Linked DNA regions of Zea mays. The main gene of each other region encodes a partner of the protein of the gene in region 3 in a complex. Links are inferred from orthologs where the notes say so. Each region holds a gene or a part of one and is shown on either strand. Other genes may lie near its edges.

Evidence for each region. Proteins that work in one complex are often made in the same cells at the same time.
Region 1: uncharacterized protein LOC100273526 (region 3) and Carbon catabolite repressor protein 4 homolog 4 share a complex: the UniProt entries of both Arabidopsis thaliana proteins name them as parts of the CCR4-NOT complex. The link is inferred for Zea mays from reciprocal best matches to the Arabidopsis thaliana genes AT5G11350 and AT1G31500.
Region 2: uncharacterized protein LOC100273526 (region 3) and CCR4-NOT transcription complex subunit 6 share a complex: the UniProt entries of both Arabidopsis thaliana proteins name them as parts of the CCR4-NOT complex. The link is inferred for Zea mays from reciprocal best matches to the Arabidopsis thaliana genes AT5G11350 and AT3G58580.

What each region holds. Positions count from the first base shown.
Region 1 is NC_050101.1:154,485,881-154,492,644, reverse strand, and holds part of Carbon catabolite repressor protein 4 homolog 4, read left to right. Parts: intron 1-57; exon of another isoform or gene 58-81; coding exon of another isoform or gene 82-123; coding exon 124-239; intron 240-325; coding exon 326-411; intron 412-520; coding exon 521-570; intron 571-730; coding exon 731-780; intron 781-1,351; coding exon 1,352-1,421; intron 1,422-2,127; coding exon 2,128-2,249; intron 2,250-2,553; coding exon 2,554-2,663; intron 2,664-3,557; coding exon 3,558-3,708; intron 3,709-3,848; coding exon 3,849-3,996; intron 3,997-6,764. UniProt on the Arabidopsis thaliana protein: Acts as a catalytic component of the CCR4-NOT core complex, which in the nucleus seems to be a general transcription factor, and in the cytoplasm the major mRNA deadenylase involved in mRNA turnover.
Region 2 is NC_050096.1:14,207,884-14,213,341, forward strand, and holds the end of CCR4-NOT transcription complex subunit 6, read left to right. Parts: coding exon 1-513; intron 514-1,063; coding exon 1,064-1,150; intron 1,151-1,226; coding exon 1,227-1,310; intron 1,311-1,395; coding exon 1,396-1,482; intron 1,483-1,573; coding exon 1,574-1,660; intron 1,661-3,541; coding exon 3,542-3,595; intron 3,596-3,685; coding exon 3,686-3,777; intron 3,778-3,888; coding exon 3,889-4,003; intron 4,004-4,091; coding exon 4,092-4,242; intron 4,243-4,421; coding exon 4,422-4,567; 3' UTR 4,568-4,575; intron 4,576-4,867; 3' UTR 4,868-5,406; downstream 5,407-5,458. UniProt on the Arabidopsis thaliana protein: Acts as a catalytic component of the CCR4-NOT core complex, which in the nucleus seems to be a general transcription factor, and in the cytoplasm the major mRNA deadenylase involved in mRNA turnover.
Region 3 is NC_050098.1:230,201,135-230,207,898, reverse strand, and holds part of uncharacterized protein LOC100273526, read left to right. Parts: intron 1-1,087; coding exon 1,088-1,180; intron 1,181-1,303; coding exon 1,304-1,336; intron 1,337-1,415; coding exon 1,416-1,507; intron 1,508-6,764. UniProt on the Arabidopsis thaliana protein: Acts as a catalytic component of the CCR4-NOT core complex, which in the nucleus seems to be a general transcription factor, and in the cytoplasm the major mRNA deadenylase involved in mRNA turnover.

The sequences.
Region 1 (6,764 bases), on a different chromosome or scaffold from region 3:
CCAGCGAGTGGTATACGACAGTAATACCAATATGGCGATGACGTGCTGCGGGATACCAAAGAGGCGAAGCCGCGCGACGAAATGATTATAATCACAAATAACTCACCGCAAAGGGCGCCACCGATGCTAAAGCCACAGACGTCGTGGACAGCTTCCCTCCCTCTCCTTCTCATCCGCCGCTGCTCGAGAACCGCGGCCAGTCCATCTCCTGCCGGTGACCGGCCGCTCTCCTTTGTCCCGTGAGGGCATTCCCACCCCTAACCCTGTCCCTTGTTTCCTCTCTTGCACTCTTCGTTCTAACGCTTCACTGGATACGCAAAATTAGGGTCTGCAAGCGGCGGATGAGCACGCTGGCGCATCCCAGGTTTGCCCCTCTCCCTACGGAGCAAACTGAATCCCAAACAGATGGCGGTCAGTCCTCGTCAGCCCTGAAATCTTAAGGAAACTAATCACTGACACTTGCAACAGTGGAATTTCTGTGTGGTCGATGCTAATATTCGTTTTGGGTTTTGGCTTCCAGGGGCTGCACGGTACCAGTTCCGGCTGGTCTCTTACAACATCTTGGCCCAGGTGTGTCTGTTTTTTTTTCTTAGCTTTCTAGCGAGAAATTTGCTATTTTGCCACTCTCTCCCCGTTTTGGCTCTATGTTATTATGCCATCTCTGTCGGTGGGACCATCCGTGTGGATCATTGGCGGCCAACGGTGCCTAATAGTTTGCTCTGTGCTGCAGGTTTATGTTAAGAGTACGCTTTTTCCTCATTCCCCATCTGCGTGCCTCAAGTAAGCCCTTGATTGATCAGTTGTTTGTGTTGTGTATTGGATTTTCTCTCTCGAAAACGCTGTTTATTGGACTTTCCTTATAGTCATGGTACTTAAGGTTCTAATGCTGTATAGTCATGGTGTCTGAGAAAGTAAGAAATCTTTGGAATTTCCTTATCTAACTATTTTCATGTGACTTACTTGAACTAGGCTTCATAAGTGGAACCAAGTGATATTGAATTATACAAATTTGGTTCCATGAATGATGGGTTACCCAGCAGATCCTAATCAAACTTGATGACATGTTTGCTCAGCAATACAACTTTTAGACTTCTAAAAAGTAGTAATATACTCCCTCGGATTCCGGATTGTAAGTCATTCTGGCTTTTCTAGATGCATATATATATATATATCTTTTGCTATGTACCTAGACATAAGTTATGTTTAGATTCATTGTAAAATCTGTGTCTAAGAGAGCCAAAACGACTTCCAATTTGGAACGAAGGGAGTACTGTTATACTATTTAATTTTCACAACAGATATTGACAACATGGCCCCTAACTTATGTTCCTATTTCATGTTTGCAAAATAGGTGGAAATCTCGATCGGGAGCTATTCTTACAGAACTAAAGAGCTTTGATGCTGACTTCATGTGCATACAGGTTGTCTTATATAAAGTTCTGCAGTGTTTATTATTACTTTGGTTACATTACAGAATATGTTGTCTTTTCAGTTCAAATTTTATTCTTATTATCTAGGGTGTTGTAGCACCACAAAATTTTGCCAATGAATATGAAGAAATCCAACAGATTGTGCTGTTGTGGCAGTGTTGGTCAAGTTTATGAGTCACATCCTACTTCGTGCCATCTTGTCCAAAAAAGGAGAAATCCACTTCTCTTCCTGTCCTCTGAGCCCTCTCTATATTGCTACCTTTCCTGTCTTTGTCCTCTGTCCACAGCTGCTTCTTCTGTTCCTTGGCACCCAGGAGCTTATGGTATGATACTTGTGCTTATGCTGATAATGAGGCAAGGGGTTGCAATATGGAGTAGTAATGGTGTTTATTTCTTTTTTTATCTTATGGAACAATTCCATCCTAACAATCTCACTAGATGGCATGCATGACATGGCAATGTAATGTTGGGCTAGTATGTCTTAATTTTACTTTCCTGTCAGAAACTGGATTTGGATTTTGCCCAACTAGATTTCAGCTATCACATGTAGTTCAAAATTATCGTTGTCCTATTTGTTCACAAACAAGTTTATTGGGATGCTGGTATACCTACTATCAATGGTCAGTCTCTTTTGTGTGGAATGATTTTCTTCTGGTTAATAATTGTAAGCAATATATAATTCATGTGACCTGCGCAGGAGTTGGATGAATATGATACCTTCTATAAGAAAAACATGGAAAACTCTGGATATTCAAGTATTTACATTCAGCGATCTGGAGACAAACGAGATGGCTGTGGTATATTCTATAAACCTAAAAGGTATTAATGTTTTCCCTTGAACATGTCATAACAGCTACTGATCTGAGGAAAAAAGTAACATTTAACCTCACCCATCAAAATATGTGTTCTCTTGCATCCAATGTACTATGGACGATTTCATGGAAAGTGATCATTAATAACTACGTGTCTTCAGTTTGGGAACAATTTCTTTTAAATAAATCATCAGTGATCTAGAAAGTTGAACATGGAACATGTTGGGTCTTCTGGGACTTAGCTTCTTTATGTGTATTGCAAAAGTATTTTTACCTCATCATTTTTCTTTGAATCTCTCTTACCTTTGCAGTGCAGAACTGGTGCAGAAAGAAGTAATACTGTACAATGATTTAGTAGAAAAATATGTTCCTAGTGATAATGTAAATAGTGCTCTGGAAAATAATTCTTCAGCAGAAGAAGGTAATTGGACTTGTATCATACATTCATACTATAATAATATCTGTAAATCACAATGGTGCAAGGATATCAGTATCCCTATCCGTATCCTAGTATTTTAGGATATTATATAATTATATTCTACCGTGTTGGAATGATACCGATCCTCCCGGGTCAAAATGATACCGATCCTACTGAGTATCTTCAATTTCATAGTATCCCAAATTCCTGATCCTATGATTCTACATAAAAAATTCATAGTATCCTGATCCTACCTAAAGGCTCCATATGATTCTACATAAAAATTCATAGCATCCCGATACTATGATCCTACAATACCACATAGTAGTTGATATAAATTACTTTTTAAATGATTTAGTTTTGTCTATGGTAAAGTATTATTTAAAGTTAAGAGGTGTTAAAATAATGTTAAGAATTGCGCTTAAATATATAAACAGTGAAACAAGTTAATCAAAATTAATATTATAGTTGTTCAATCTATATTCTATATAGCATATTACAAATTTTACATAAAATATATAGTTTGTGACATCTGATAGTATCCCAATACTACGATATGATCCTACGATCTAATACTGTCAGCCAAAAAACGATAGTGCCTAGTATCCTGATCCTAACGACCTTGTAGTGGGGTGCTCCGCCATGAATCTTTAAACTTGTAATCTGGGCTAAAAATGCTATTTACAAGCTATATATTGGAGTGGGCTATTTTTTGTTTTGTTTTGTTCTTAATGCTTAATAAATCTATTGCCGGAGATGCATTATATATCAGTGTCTAACGAGTTAGCAAACTCCTCTAACCTCATACTGTTGCTATTTCCTGTACTTTGGATTTATCTCTTGCCTGGTCTGATGCTTGACGTCAATACTTCATGATGTTTTCTCTCTTTTTTCCAGACAAGAATGCAAAGCCAGATAATAGCAAGCGTGGAGATCCAAATGATCCACGCGTTAGATTGAAGCGGGACTGTGTTGGTTTACTCGCGGCTTTCAAGCTTAGTGATCCTTGTGATCAAATTTTGATTGTGGCAAACACACATATTTATTGGCAAGTGAAACAGAATTTTACTCTCTTTGGAATTTGCTTTCACAATTCCCTGCACATTTTTGTTGTTTTTAGTCTCAGCTACATTGTTTGGCAGTTGTCCAGCAAATGTATAAATTTTTGTTTGATGCATAACTCTGTAGGGACCCACAATGGATCGATGTAAAGTTGGCTCAGGCAAAATATCTTCTTTCGAGAGTATCTCAGTTTGAGCAACTCATCTCAAATAAATATAATTGTAAACCTTCAGTGATCATTGCTGGTGACTTCAATTCGACACCTGGTGACAAGGTATGCCTTGCATTTATTTCATTGCTTCCTGAAGCTTATTGACTTGTAAGAACATCATTTCGTGCTTTAGCTATTATTTCTATCTATTGTAATACAAAGTATAGTTAGAACCATCGTAGAGATGATTCTGTGAGGTCATTTTTAATATAAAAATCCAATTATTGGGTGTATTACTTCTTTTTGGACATGTATGGACCGCATGGGATGCAAAACTATCTTATAATGAATGGACTTATGGACGTAGCTGTTAGAATACCCGTTTAGGGTTTGGGGGTTTTCCCTGTGTAATTACTGTCTCGCCCCTCTGTAATGGGCATGACCCAGTACTCAAGTCTATTAATACACCACCCAACCCCTGTTAGGGTTAGGGTTCACATTCCAACATGGTATCAGAGGCAACTTAATTTTTTCTAGCCCCCATCTCCCTCTCGGGCACTGCCAACCCCATTCGCACCACCGCCGCGCCGCCCAAACCCTAGCCGCCGCCGCCATGGTCGCCGTCAACCGCCCCCTCGTCTCCGTGAAGGACCTAGAGGGCGACATGGTAACCGACGCCCCCGGCATCGCCTTACCGCCCGTCTTCGGGGCGCCGATCCGCCTCGACGTGGTCAGGTTCACCCACAAGCTGTTGTCCTGCAACAAGCGTTGCTGGCGTTCTTCGCCCCGTCGACCGGCTGATCCTGGCAGCGGATACGACCTGCACTCCTCCGGACGCATCCCCTGTGCCCTCCTCCGTTCGCGCTGCCCTCGCCGACCCACATTGGCGTCGTGCTATGGAGGAGGAGTACGCAGCCCTCTTGGCCAACCACACCTGGGACCTGGTGCCGTGTCCACCAGACACCAACGTGGTCACCGGCAAGTGGCTATTTCGCCACAAGCTGACCTTGGATGGCTCCCTCGACCGCTACAAGGCCCGTTGGGTCCTTCGGGGCTTCACCCAGCGCCCCGGAGTAGACTACGACGAGACCTTCAGCCCCGTCGTCAAATTCGCCACTGTCCGCGCCGTCCTCTCCCTCGCCCTCTCCCACGATTGGGCGATCCATCAGCTTGACGTCAAGAATGCCTTCCTCCATGGCACTCTGACGGAGACTGTTTACTGCAGCCAGCCCACCGGCTTCGTCGACGCCAATCGTCCGGATCTGGTCTACCGGCTGAACCGATCCCTGTACGGCCTCAAGCAGGCGCCGCGGGCATGGTACAGTCGCTTCGTCTCCTACTTGGCCTCCATCGGCTTCGTCGAGGCCAAGTCGGACACGTCCCTGTTCATCTACCGGCGTGGCGACGACACCGTCTACCTCCTACTCTACGTCGACGACATTGTGCTCACGGCATCCACCGCCGACCTTCTACAGCGCACGATCGTCGCCCTTCAGCGGGAGTTCGCGATGAAGGACCTGGGGCCCCTCCACCACTTCCTCGGCATCACCGCCGAGCGCCGGCCTCAGGGTCTCTTCCTCCACCAGCTCCAGTACGCCATCGACATCCTGGAGCGGGCTGGCATGTCTGACTGCAAGCCCTGCTCCACGCCTGTCGACACTCAGGCAAAGCTCTCTGAGGTCGACGGGCCTCCGGTCGCTGACGCGACGTCCTATCGGAGCCTGACCGGCGCGCTCCAGTACTTCACCTTCTCCAGGCCCGACATCGCCTACGCCGTCCAGCAAGTGTGCCTACATATGCACACTCCGCGGGAGCCCCACCTCACCGCTCTCAAGCGGATACTGCGCTACCTCCGCGGCTCCCTCGACTATGGCCTCCTATTGCGACCATCCCCGACGTCGGAACTCGTGGTCTACACCGACGCTGACTGGGCTGGCTGTCCCGACACGCGCCGGTCCACCTCTGGTTACGCCGTGTTCATGGGCGCCAACCTCGTCTCTTGGGCCGCCAAACGGCAGCCCGTCGTCTCTCGCTCCAGCGCTGAGGCCGAGTACCGCGCCGTGGCCAACAGCGTGGCAGAGGCCTCCTGGCTACGACAACTCCTCCACGAGCTCCACAGTCCCCTTCAGCGCGCCACCCTCGTCTACTGCGACAACGTCAGCGCGGTCTACCTCTCCACCAATCCCGTGCAGCATCAGCGCACGAAGCACGTGGAGATTGACCTGCACTTCGTCCGCGAGCGTGTCGCTGCCGGTGACGTTCGGGTTCTCAGCGTCCCCACCACGCTGCAATTCGCTGACATCTTCACCAAGGGGTTACCGTCGAGTGTATTTTTAGACTTTCGCTCCAGTCTCAACATCTGTACAGGATAGAGTTGTGACTGCGGGGGGTGTTAGAATACCCGTTTAGGGTTTGGGGTTTTTCCCTGTGTAATTACTGTCTCGCCCCTCTGTAATGGACCTGGCCCAGTACTCAAGTCTATTAATACACCACCCAACCCCTGTTAGGGTTAGGATTCACATTCCAACAGTAACTATAGATCCATGCTCTATTGAACGGTACTAGATCAGGCAGCGCCCCTTGGGGCGCCCTATCCAGCTCAAGAGAAAACCAAGAGATAACAATTGGCCATGACATATTCAAATGCAATGGTTATACCAAACAACAGATCATACAAAAGTAATGCATATAATTGACGATGAATCATATAGTCAAGAATGCACAAAACCCTTGAAATGAGATATTAAAACCACATAAACGAAGCATTGCAAAACATGTGAGCCAAAAATGCACAAAAGCCTTGAAATGAGATATTAAAACCACAGAAACGAAGCATTGCAAAACATGTGAGCTATAGTATTTGAAATATCATGGGAAACTAACTAAGATGA
Region 2 (5,458 bases), on a different chromosome or scaffold from region 3:
GTTATTAGTGCTGCGTTGTCTGGTTCAACATCAAACCTTTCACTGAGCTCAGGTGTTAATAATGGACCTACACCTGTGTATCCAACAGGCACTGAGAAGAGTTCTGGTGAAACTTGGTTTGAAGTGGGATGGTCACGAACATATACGGCAACTACTGATGATATTGGACATGTGCTAAGATTTGAATGTATAGTTGTGGATGTGGAAACACGGGGGACTGTGAGAGCTCCTACTTCAGTCATGACATCCCGTGTAATCCCAGCACCGACCCCGACACCACGCCGCTTGATCCCTGTTAATGCAGCTGATGCAATGGTCCACTTCGATTTAGATAGCCGGACTTCTTCTTTTGGGACATTTACTGTGCTGTCCTACAATATTCTTGCTGATACATATGCAACAAGTGATACATACAGCTATTGTCCAACTTGGGCACTTACATGGGCTTATAGAAGGCAAAATTTGTTGCGTGAAATTATTGGTTACCATGCTGATATTATCTGCCTTCAGGAGGTATGAATGCTATTGTTTTTCATGTTTGAAGTTTAAGGCTCTGATTTGCATCTTTAATTGTTAATAAATTGCACTTATTATGTTCAGCATGATGAGTTTAAGAAATTACTATTGATGTTGTTATGTTCCTGTCAATCTGTGATACATTGAGATTGCTCCATTGCTTCATGACACCATCCTTTGGTCTTCTGTTAATTCTGAGTAACTAAATTGTAGTTATAAAAATAATGTTAATGTGATTTCTTCATTAGCCCGACTGCCCGAGGCAGGATAGTTTCCCAGCACCTTTCTGTTGAATGAGAAGTACTATCATAACTTTTTTATCTGCCTTCTGGAGTCCTTAAATTGTTTGATTGTTGTTTCTTGATTGTGCTGCATCCCCCCTTAAACTCATGAAGCATAAAACATAAGTGACACCTGAAATTATTCCCTTTCTCATATGATCAATGTCTCAGAGAGGAAGGAGTCTTTATTTTGTAAGAATCAGTATAAAAGAAAAACCATGCCATTTCTATGCTTCTAAAGGTGATCTATATGTTACTATTTGCAGGTACAAAGTAATCACTTTGAAGATTTTTTTTCACCGGAGCTTGATAAACATGGGTACCAACCTCTATATAAGAAAAGGACGACAGAGGTTTGTTTGGTTCTTTACTGCTTGCTGTAAAACCTTGGTATGGTGTAGTGCGTAATTTGGAATATTGCTGTCACAGGTGTACAGCGGAAGTCCTCAAGCAATTGATGGTTGCGCTACTTTCTTTCGTCGGGACAGATTTTCGCATGTCAAAAAATATGAGGTCAGTGCCTTCTTTTTCCTGCAGTGTTTGAGAGTTGACTTGATACTATCAGCATCTAATGCTTTCTGGACTTTGTTATATGCAGGTCGAGTTCAATAAGGCTGCACAGTCTTTAACTGATGCAATTATTCCTGCCGCTCAAAAAAAGTTAGCTCTAAATCGTTTGGTTAAGGTGCAACCAATATGGGAACTACAAATATACCATAAGTGCTACATGGTCGATCATTACCTTACATCTATTACAATCTCTATCTGCCATGCAGGATAATATTGCGCTAATTGCAGTTTTAGAAGCTAAATTTAGTAACCATGGAACTGAAAACCCTAGTAAAAGGCAACTTCTCTGTGTGGTAAGTGCTTCCTTACTATCGCATATTAGCATCGGTAATATCATCTCTGTGCTGTTTTTAATATAATCAAAATCACTTCCATGAGTCTGGTGAGAACAGCTATGCTGAAAACATGTGGCTAGAATAAGGATGTCATTTAATGCAACCTTTTCAGGTCCGGTTAATGAACACTAGAGCACTAATATGAGTCTCTCATGGTTAGAAAAATAAAATAGAACACCGGATCAGTCATTTTTTTTTAACTTGTGGTGCTCTTGCTATGTCAGGGATCTATTTGCATGTTATCTATATTCATAATAACCCATGGAAATGCTGAGTATCATTAGGTACAACTAGTTATTTGATATCTTTTGGTTTTGAGTTCTTTAGGTTTTGTTGTTATTTTTTGTTGTTGTGAGTACTTGATGGTATCTTTACCCATGAGAATGCTTTCTTTTTTCTCATCAAGGATTCACTCTCATGCCACATAAATTTGGCACTTCTATTTTTTTATCACTTGTTCATTTGGAATTTAGTGATATTGATGAAGATGTTAGCCATAGGATCAAAGCAGGGTGGACGAAATGGTGTCAAGCATCGAGAGTCCTATGTGATAAGAGAGTGCTACAAAAGCTGAAAGGCAAGTTATACAGGACACGATTAGGCCTGCTATGTTATATGGGGTTGAGTGTTGGGCTACTAAGTACTAAGGATGTCATATTTAACAACTATGTGTCGCAGAGAGCCAGAGATGCATATGTTGCGTTGGATATGTGGGCACACAAGATTGGACCGAGTGAGAAATGATGACATTCGCGATCGGCTATGAGTAGCGCCAATTGAAGAAAAACTTATTGAACACCGATTGAGATGGTTTGGGCATGTCCACCAGAGACCCACAAAGTCACCGGTGCACAGAGGCATCATAAGACATGACACTAATATGAAGAGAGGTATAGGGTGGCCAAACTTGACATGGGGGGAGGCAATCGAAAGGGACTTGAAGAAATGGAATATCGCAAAGGAGTTGTGTTTGGATAGAAGGGCTTGGAAATAAGCTATCCACGTGCCTGAACCGTGATTAGGCCTTTTCCATTTTAGTTCTCTCAAAAGCTTTCCCCCTCCCTTTCTCTTTCTTTCTTTTTGGTGACTTCTTGCTGGGTTTCAACTTTAGCCTACCCCAACTTGCTTGGGACTAAAAGGCTATGTTGATGTTGATGTTGATGTTCATTTGGAATTTATTATGGTTAGGCCAGTGTTCATTGGCCATAATTTGCTTGCCATCTTTTTAATAAGCTACCCTAGATGCGGGATCCTTAGAATGAATATAAATGACACGATTTAGCTAGATCCATGCAATGATCAGGTCAGACTGAACTGCTTTGCTAGACATGGGGATAATGGTAATAGTTAGGGGAATAAAAAAGATATTGGAACTTGGAAGACAGGTAAACTGGTCCTCTATGCTTTTTATTCTGGAAGGTGGCCAACCATGTTTTTACATGGCAGAAGTGACAAGAAAACGATTTCACTGAACAGTAGAGCTCTTTTGACTAGATCATGCCAATTGTCCCTCTAATTCTTTTTGTTGGGTTTTTGAATATAGCAATTGATCTTGTTTTATTGTGTGGGTCTTATACCACCTATGTTTATATTTACTTGTTGTATCGGATATAAATATGATCTCTGGTCAAAGTATGTGCTAGCGAAATTCAATAATTTTATTACGATAAAGAAGTAACTTCGATGGTGGTCTATTTGTATCAATTTTACGCTTTACGGATAATGGTGGTCAAAGTTTCTAAAGTTTGGCTATGTCTGCTGTAGGAGGCATCTGTTTTAGACTGGAGATAGTAATATGTTATTCCTTGTGGATCTCATGTTTCTTGATTTTTTGTGCAGGCTAATACACATATAAATATCCACCATGACCTTAAAGATGTGAAGCTATGGCAGGTTCAAATACTTCCCCCTCCCTCTGTATAATTTCATAACATTTTATAATTTCTTTAACTGATGAATCTCATGGCTTGCAAACTCTTGCAGATTCATACCCTCCTAAAAGGGTTGGAAAAAATAGCTGTTAGTGCAGACATTCCAATGTTGGTCTGTGGAGATTTTAATTCAACTCCTGGAAGGTTTGTTAGATTTAGCAGCCCTTCTTTTTTGTTTGTGTTAGAGATTTAGAGTTATTGTCTTTCAGTTTGAATATTTCTACCAAATGGTAAACAATCATGTGGTTCATGTAGTACGTCACATGGGCTTCTTGCAAGGGGCAAAGTTGATCATTTGCATCCAGATCTAGCAATAGATCCTCTTGGAATTTTGCGCCCACTAAGCAAGCTGACACACCAGCTTCCTCTGGTACGTTCAATTTATCATGGATATTACCTATCGGTTTCCTTTTTTTATTCTTGTTGTGGCTCTTAATAAAGTTTTTGCTTGTTCGTAGGTCAGTGCATACTCATCATTCGTGAGTATGGCTGGTGTTGGCTATGATTTGGATCACCAGCGAAGGAGGATGGACCCTGGGACAAATGAGCCATTGTTCACAAATTGCACAAGGGATTTTACCGGTACCCTAGATTACATATTTTACACAGGTTAGTGCTTAAATTCTTGGACTGGTTCAAGCGCTTGCTCTATCTCTTCCCTTTACTTTGGTTCAAGCGCTTGGCCGCTTGCGCTATCTCTTTTCCTTTTAGTTTGGCTATCTCTGTTGATCTGGAATAAGTAGATATTGTGTTAACATTGTCTTTTACAATGTGCTCTTCTATTTCAGCGGATTCATTGACTGTAGAGTCATTATTGGAGCTGTTGGATGAGGATAGCTTGAGAAAAGACACGGCTCTTCCTTCTCCTGAATGGTCATCGGATCATATAGCGCTCCTAGCAGAATTCCGGTGCAAGCTTAGAGTTAGACGATGATACTTTAGGTATGGGGAGAATATTACTATTACTCATTCAATACTGCCTTCGACTTTACTTCCTGTCCCCCATGTTAATGGTCTTTGTAGGGGTAAGTCTTGCCTCGATTATTCCTTCCCCAGACCCCACTCATTGTAGATAATATTAAGGTCTGTCTCTTATATTTTTAAGTTGTATGCTTGATTGTGGAACCCACTGAATGCATGATCTGCTAGAAATTGTGCTAGTATATGTGCCCATGTATTGACCCTGATGATGTTACCATCTATATCTCATATCATACTCGTTTGTGTTTGCCAGGAGGAGCTGTAGGGGAGGGATTCTTGACAATCGCATGAGATGATGAGAATGTACCCTGGCGAAGGCAGGAACGAGAAGCCTAAGGGAAAGAGGCTTGTTATGTTCCTCACCCTTTTACATTTCCGCCTCGATGTTCTCTAGTGGCACTAGTTGGAATGCGACTTCCAATAGAAGATATATTATCAATGCAAAGAGAAATGATTTAATAGATTCGTGTGCCGTTTTAGTTTTCCATCCTCACATTCTCGCCCCCCTCCCCCCCCCCCCCCCCCCCCCCCCCTCTTCAATGTGAGTTCATTGTCCACATTTTTGTTTCCTACCATGAATGTGCTCTAGTTCTTACAAACTAAAAATGGCCCCTTCCATAGTGTATGTATGTCTCTTGAGCAGGGATCAGCTTTGGCGTAGTTTACTGTGTTGAAGATGCTTAGTTGAAAAGTGATGTCGGGTTATCTATGATGGATATTGAACGAATACCTGGTGACTAGAGAGAGCTTCACATTGGGGAAGCTATACTGAATGAAAACTGTGAATTTTGATGTCTCTCTTGCAGTGGTTTCTGAAGCACCCATCTCAATCTATTGTTATATA
Region 3 (6,764 bases):
TGGCACCACTGTTGGGCTGCCGACCCATTAGGGCTGGTTTGGTGGACAGGGAAATGGAGGGGATCCATGGGGGAGGAATCCCCTCGCTATTAAGTGTGTGTTCCTATATGTATGTGTAGGTGGGCTGGCACCACTGTTGGGCTGCCGATCCATTACGGTTAATGTTTCCCTGTGTCTATATATATGTAACCATCCTCTATGTAATACAAGGGGTTCTAGTTTCTTTTAGTGAGGATTGCGACAAGGATGGATTGAGCCGCATCTACGACATGGTGAGGATGGATGTCCGAGTTGGTGGCAGTGCCACCAAATGCAGCAGAGGGGGTTGGGGTAGAGCCGAAATCGATGGTTTAGGCCGGCGGCGCGCCTAGGCTAGCGTGTGGTGGCCTGCAGGGGGCAGCAGAGGTGGAGCATAGGCACAACGCGAGCCTGAAAATCAATGGCCAGGTGGTCAGCATGCCCATCCCTATGGGAGGCACGCCGGTGACGTCCGGAGGCGGCGCCTGGGGGGCGTATCAGGCGGCGGCTGAGACACGGCCGCCGCCGCAACCCCGACGAGGGCCGGGGCGGCTCTGGCTATGCCAACCCACGTGCCTCTCTAGCGAGGAAGGATGGGGGTGAAGAGGAGAGAAAGCATCCCCAGAAGTTGCCGCAACCATGGGATGACCGACCAACAATGGTGGTGCTCGAGAGGGGGTTAGGTGGCAGGGGTAGGGTGGTGGCAGCCAAGTTAGGGCTAACTATCTGATACCATATTGGAAGAGTGTAAATGGATGGCTTATATTAATTGGAAGAGTGCTACACTTTATTAACTAACCAGCCTTGCCTAGGGTTACGTCCCACTAGCAGGCCACATGGGCCGGGCTCTAGTCCCATACACATAAGCAGCACATAACAATCTAACATCTTTTATTATATGCTATTCTGTATGAAAGAGACATTTTATATGTTGATACGTGATGCTTTATTCTTTCTTGGCATAATTTCTGTGTTCTGTGTAGTGTCTTTTCTTCTTTCTCTGTATTCTTGATCATTTGCTAAGCACCTTAATATTGCATTTCTGCTTTCTGATTTTATGGTCCTACAGGTCAGGACACTTCTGGATAAAGCTAACGCTCTATCTAAGATGTGGAATGATGCTCCAGTGATAGTTTGTGGAGATTTTAACTCTACACCCAAGGTAATGTTCTTGTATGGGTCTCTATTTATCTATTTGAGATTACATGGTAATTTACTGTTTTTGTCTAGGTAATGATTAACATAGACAAGTATTTAACTTTTATCTCATTTCTTTCTTATTCAGAGTCCATTGTATAATTTTATGTTGGGGCAAAAGGTAGTGTTTTTTCTCTTCAATCCATTAGTGTCGCTGATTTCATGGGGTTGAAACCTAATAAAGCTTCCAAAATGTGCAGTTGAATTTGTCTGGCCTTGCGAGAAATACTATATCTGGACAGCAAATTGGTGGTAGTTCACAGGGGCTATATACTGGCCCTAATATATCTGGGTGAATCTTCTGCCTTTTGAAATTGTTTACTATTTGTTTTTGGCCAATCTCTTCCTACACTGTAACCTGTCTTTTTCTAATGTTTTATAGATGTGTGATTCTGTCAGGGCCTAAGGAGGCCTAAGGAGGCCCACGGAGGGGCTGCGGCAGCAATAGTGCTGCGGCAGCAGCAACCATGGGCCCTCCAAGGGGGATTAGATAAGGATGGTTATAGATAAGATTAGAAGATTAGTTGAGATTACTTAGGAGATTAGTTGAGATTATCTAGGAAGGTTATCAGTTAGTAGTTGAGAGTTTTTAGAAGAGTTTTAAGGAGATAAGGATCTCTACCTAGATAGGGGCGGACAACTGTCCTATTTATGTAATGAATGGATGAGAAATAAAGTAGTCAAAAATTAGAAGGGAGAAACCCTCCTTGCTCGGCCGTGGGCAGAGGCTCTCGGCCGACGTTCCTGCCCATCAATACCCCTCCAATTCCTCACCGATCTAGCGACCATATCATTTGGTATCAGCGACCTACGATCCTCCGGCCACCATGAGCTCCTCTCCACCAGCACCACCCGCCACCCTGCCGCTCACCTCCCAGCCGCGCACACTGCCGCTTGCATCCACCGCCGGCGCTACCCACCTCCACCGCGCTCGGCAATTCCACCGTCGGTATCTCCACCAACCTTCCCACGATGACAAACGAGCAACTGGCGACGTTCCTTCTCCACTTCTCCAACAATCTGGGAGCCATACAAGCCCAGATGATGGCGCTGCAGTCTGACGTAGCCGTGATGAAGGCCGTCATGATGGGCTCCCAGCCGCCGTCGTCCCTACCTTCGCCATCCGAGGCCGTAGCAGCTCAGTCGTCATTGTCACAGCTGGCCCTAACAGCCACCCCAGCGTCCTTCCAGCCGCCGAGCGTATCGATCCACCAGCTGCACTTTCCGCGATCGTCATCTCAAATTCCGACATGGGCGTTGGGATCAGATCCGCTGCCGATCTACTCGTCAACAACGCCGATCACCACAGCAGTACCGCCGGCGCCGGCGCCTACTACTGCCCTGGGGCCTTGTGGCGGCGCGCAGCCACCGGGCGTCCGGTACTGGGGGGGGGGGGTGGATGGGACCATCCACCTGCAGGCTGCAACACGTGGTTTCCTTGCGTGTCGGCGGGTGAAGCAGGTGATGGGGTGCTCCATTGCGGGGGAGCCGTAGCTGCACCAGCGCGGCCGAGCATTGTGGTGGCTGTTCACCTCCGCATACAAGAGGCTGCAAGACATGACACCCCTCTACAACGCTTCGTCCAGCGTTGGCCCTCATCTGCGGAGACCGGGCAACTACCACGACTACTCTCCTTCGTACGAGGGGACAGCACCAACGTCGGCCTCCACGGGCCCGCCTTCGAAGGCTGCTGTGTCTTTACCTCCGCGGTTCCAGCTCGCGCCCTTCTCTTTAATGTGCAACATTTTCTTGGGACACATGATGATGCTTGCAGTTGCAGTATATCTAGAATAATTAAAAGATGAGCCGAGATGTAAAAGGTTCATTTTTGGTGATATGTTAGGTCATTACAGGTCGTTTGTTGGATGCTGCAGCTCGAGGACGAGCTGCTTGTCAAGGGGGTAGTGTCATGGCCTAAGAAGGCCCATGGAGGGGCTGCGACAGCAGCAACCATGGGCCCTCTAAAGGGGATTAGATAAGGATAGTTAGAGATAAGATTAGAAGATTAGTTGAGATTATTTAGGAGATTAGTTAAGATTATCTAGGAAGGTTATTAGTTAGTAGTTGAGAGTTTTTAGGAGAGTTTTAGGGAGATAAGGATCTCTAGCTAGATAGAGGCGGCCAGCTGGCCTATTTATGTAATGAATGGATGAGAAATAAAGTAGGTAAGAATTAGAAGGGAGAGCTCCCTTCTCTTGCTCGGCCGTGGACAGAGACCCCTGGCCGACATTCCTGCCCATCGATACCCCTCTCCAATCCCTCACCGATCTAGCGACCATAACAGATTCATTGGTTGCTTTCTATTTGTGACAGATCTCATCCACCTTTTTATGCAACCAACAATAAAGTGGGAAACATAACTCTTATAAATGATTCTAAGCCTCAAACGGAAACCACAAAGTTGGTGGAGAATTCTTCCCCTGCCAGGAGAGAACCTGTTTTAACTGACACCTCTTCAGAGTCTGTCTTTGACTCCAAATCAAGTTGCACTTCTAAGCTTGACAAGCAAGGATTATCGAACTTGTTGGAAGATCCTGTAAAGGGTGCCTGTACTTCTGATGCTGATGAAGAGTGTAAACCTGCTGACAAATCCAGCGAAGGGTCTCCTGGACGGATCAAAACTGAATCTGGAGAAGGACATGACATTACAGATGCGCCATCTGCTCCAGCTATCTGTACTGATATCCTTAGGTCAGGTTCATGTAAAATAATTGATAGGATCCAGCTGCTTTCTTCAGACAACTTGGCTGGTGATGTGATTTCAGAAGAACTTACAGATCAACTGTTTACTGTCCCACAAGATAAGCCTCAGGAAAAGGAAAATACCATCGATTCCATGTTGTCTGCTGAAGAGAATTGTGCAGCTAATGAACCAGAGTCATCTCATTTCAATGGTTCTAACTTCTAAGAATGTCGCTGATGCCATTCACCAGATGAACACTGTGAAGCTAGGAGAGAGTAGTAGTGGAGTAGAAGAACCAGTACATCAACCAAATGATGCTGCTTTAGATGCCTGTGTCAATCAATGTTCGGCCGAAGTGATAAAGAGGCATTCAATCTCTTGTAGAAATGAGCCTGAAAACAATGCTTCTGCTTTTGAGGATGATACAACAACGGATGAAGTTACCTAAGAAGATGTTAATTCTGACCCTTCTTTGAGGAGTTGTCTGGTGGTAATGGTCACTTACTTGAAGAGGAAGACCAGCTTCCAGAAACTTCAAATAGTTCACCATCTTCGCAGCAGGTTACTTTAAATGATCCGTTGATATGGCGCCGGCGCCTGGGACTCTTCAACGGTGAGTGGAAAAGGAGATGGGCTTGGGGAATGGAACGCAGGGGGTATGGGGGTAAGGGGGCAGCTAGTGTCACGGCTGGCTGGATCAGCCAGGGTGACCGAAGTATCTGTCCACTAAGGATTAACTTCTTCGATGATTCTCTAGTACAAACTATTGGCTGGCTTTATAGATTATGAGCCACCAAACCTTTCCTATTATTTATCCTAGATATTTGGAAATAGAAATATCAAATCTAAACTTCCTAACAACTCAACCCTTGATTGGAGGAACTGATTTAGCTTCCTAACAACTCAGCCATTGATTGGAGGAATTGATTTATTCAATCAAAACCTTCCTTCTATCCTCTTATTGCTTTCTTGCGTTGGCTCCTTCCTTTCCTACACCTGCTGCTGGCCTTGTGCGCCTTTGATATTGGCGGCCTACAAACTGGCCCACAACATTTCCCTCCATCCCAACAAAGAACTCTTCCGCGAGCTCGAACTCTGGATACCTCTGCTTGAATTCTTCGAGTGGTTCCCAGGAAGCATCTGTCTCAGCACGACCAGACCACTGAACCAACAATTCCCACACACCTCTGTTGAGTCTGGCACGTACCACCTTGGATGGTGTTGGTAGAACACGACCATGCAAGATCACAGGTAATGGTACCACTTGTGGTGGTGCCTCCCCTTCAAATTTCTTCAGCAAGGAAACATGGAAGACATCGTGTATGCGAGCACGAGGTGGCAAATGCAGCTTGTATGAGACCAACCCTACCCGAAGGAGGACCTGGTATGGACCATAGTACTTTGGCCCAAGTTTTGAGGGAGCAGCTAAAGTTAGTCCGACTGCGCTGCTGTAGGCGAAGCCACACCCAACCGCCGACTTGGAACTCCACCTGGCGACGTTTCCTGGTAAGCTTTCATGGTGATTTGTGCCTCAAGAAGACGCTCCCGGATTTCCAACAAGAATTTTCGCGGTCCTGCAGCTAGTGGTCCAGTGCTGCTACCTTAGTGGAGCCTGACTGATAGGACAACAGGGTTGGCGGCTCCAGGCCATAGAGGACACGGAATGGCGAGCACTTGATGGATGTTTGGTATGAAGTATTGTAGCAATATTCGGCCCATGGCAACCACTGCAGCCAGGACTTCAGTCGGTCTCCTGCAAGACACCTCAAATACATGGTGATGACCCGATTTACCACTTCGGATTGACCGTCGGACTGTGGGTGGAATGCTGAGCTCATGTTTAGTTTGACACCGGCCAACTTGAACAATTCAGTCTAGAAAAGACTGGTAAAGATTGTGTCGTGGTCGCTGACGATTGAGCAGGGGAGCCCATGTAAGCGGACGATGTCGTCGAAGAAGGCCCTGGCCACGGACGATGTCGTGTATGGGCGGCGAATAGCGATGAAGTGTGCATACTTCGAGAATCTGTCCACCATAGTAAGGACCACCGTCTTGCCACCAGCACGTGGAAAACCTTCCGCAAAATCCACGGAAATGTCGCTCCAAACCTCCGAAGGGACGGTTAGGGGCTGAAGAAGATCGACGAGATGTAGATGATCGGTCTTGTTCTTCTGGCAATTGGTACACCCGTGCACATAATCGCGGATGCGCTGCAACACGCCGGGGTTGTGGAAGGAGGCGCGCCAGCGGTTGACCGTCTTTTGGATACCTTCATGGTTGTTGTCGTGGACGTACGCCAACAGTTGTGACCAAATTGGCGACACATCTGGCACATAGACGCGACCGTCGAAGGTGAGGAGGCCATCCACCCCAGTCCAACCGGCTGGAGCAGAGCCATCGGCTATCTGCTAGCGTAATGTCGCAGCCTGCTGGTTGGTGAGGAGCTCGGTCCGCAGCGCTTCGAAGAGCTCGAAGGAGGGCGAGGAGATGGTGTGGAGGGAGGCCACCACCTCCTCGTCACGCCGAGACAGCGCATCGACCGCCCCATTCATCTTCCCCGGCTTGTACTCGACGATAATGTCATATCCGAAGAGCTTGCTCACCCATGTGTGCTAAGGAATGGTGGAGAGGCGTTGATCCAAAATATACTTTAAACTATAGTGATCAGTACGAGCCGTAAAAGGCTATCCCCAAATGTATGACGAATCGCCTTGACCAAGCCGATGAGCTCACGCTCGTAGGCAGGCCGTTTCTGGTGGTGGGGCGCCACGACCCTGCTGAAGAAGGCGATCGCACCGTCGCCTTGGTGCAGGACGGCGCCGAAACCGGCACCGGAGGCATCGCAGTCGATGAAAAAGCGTTGCTC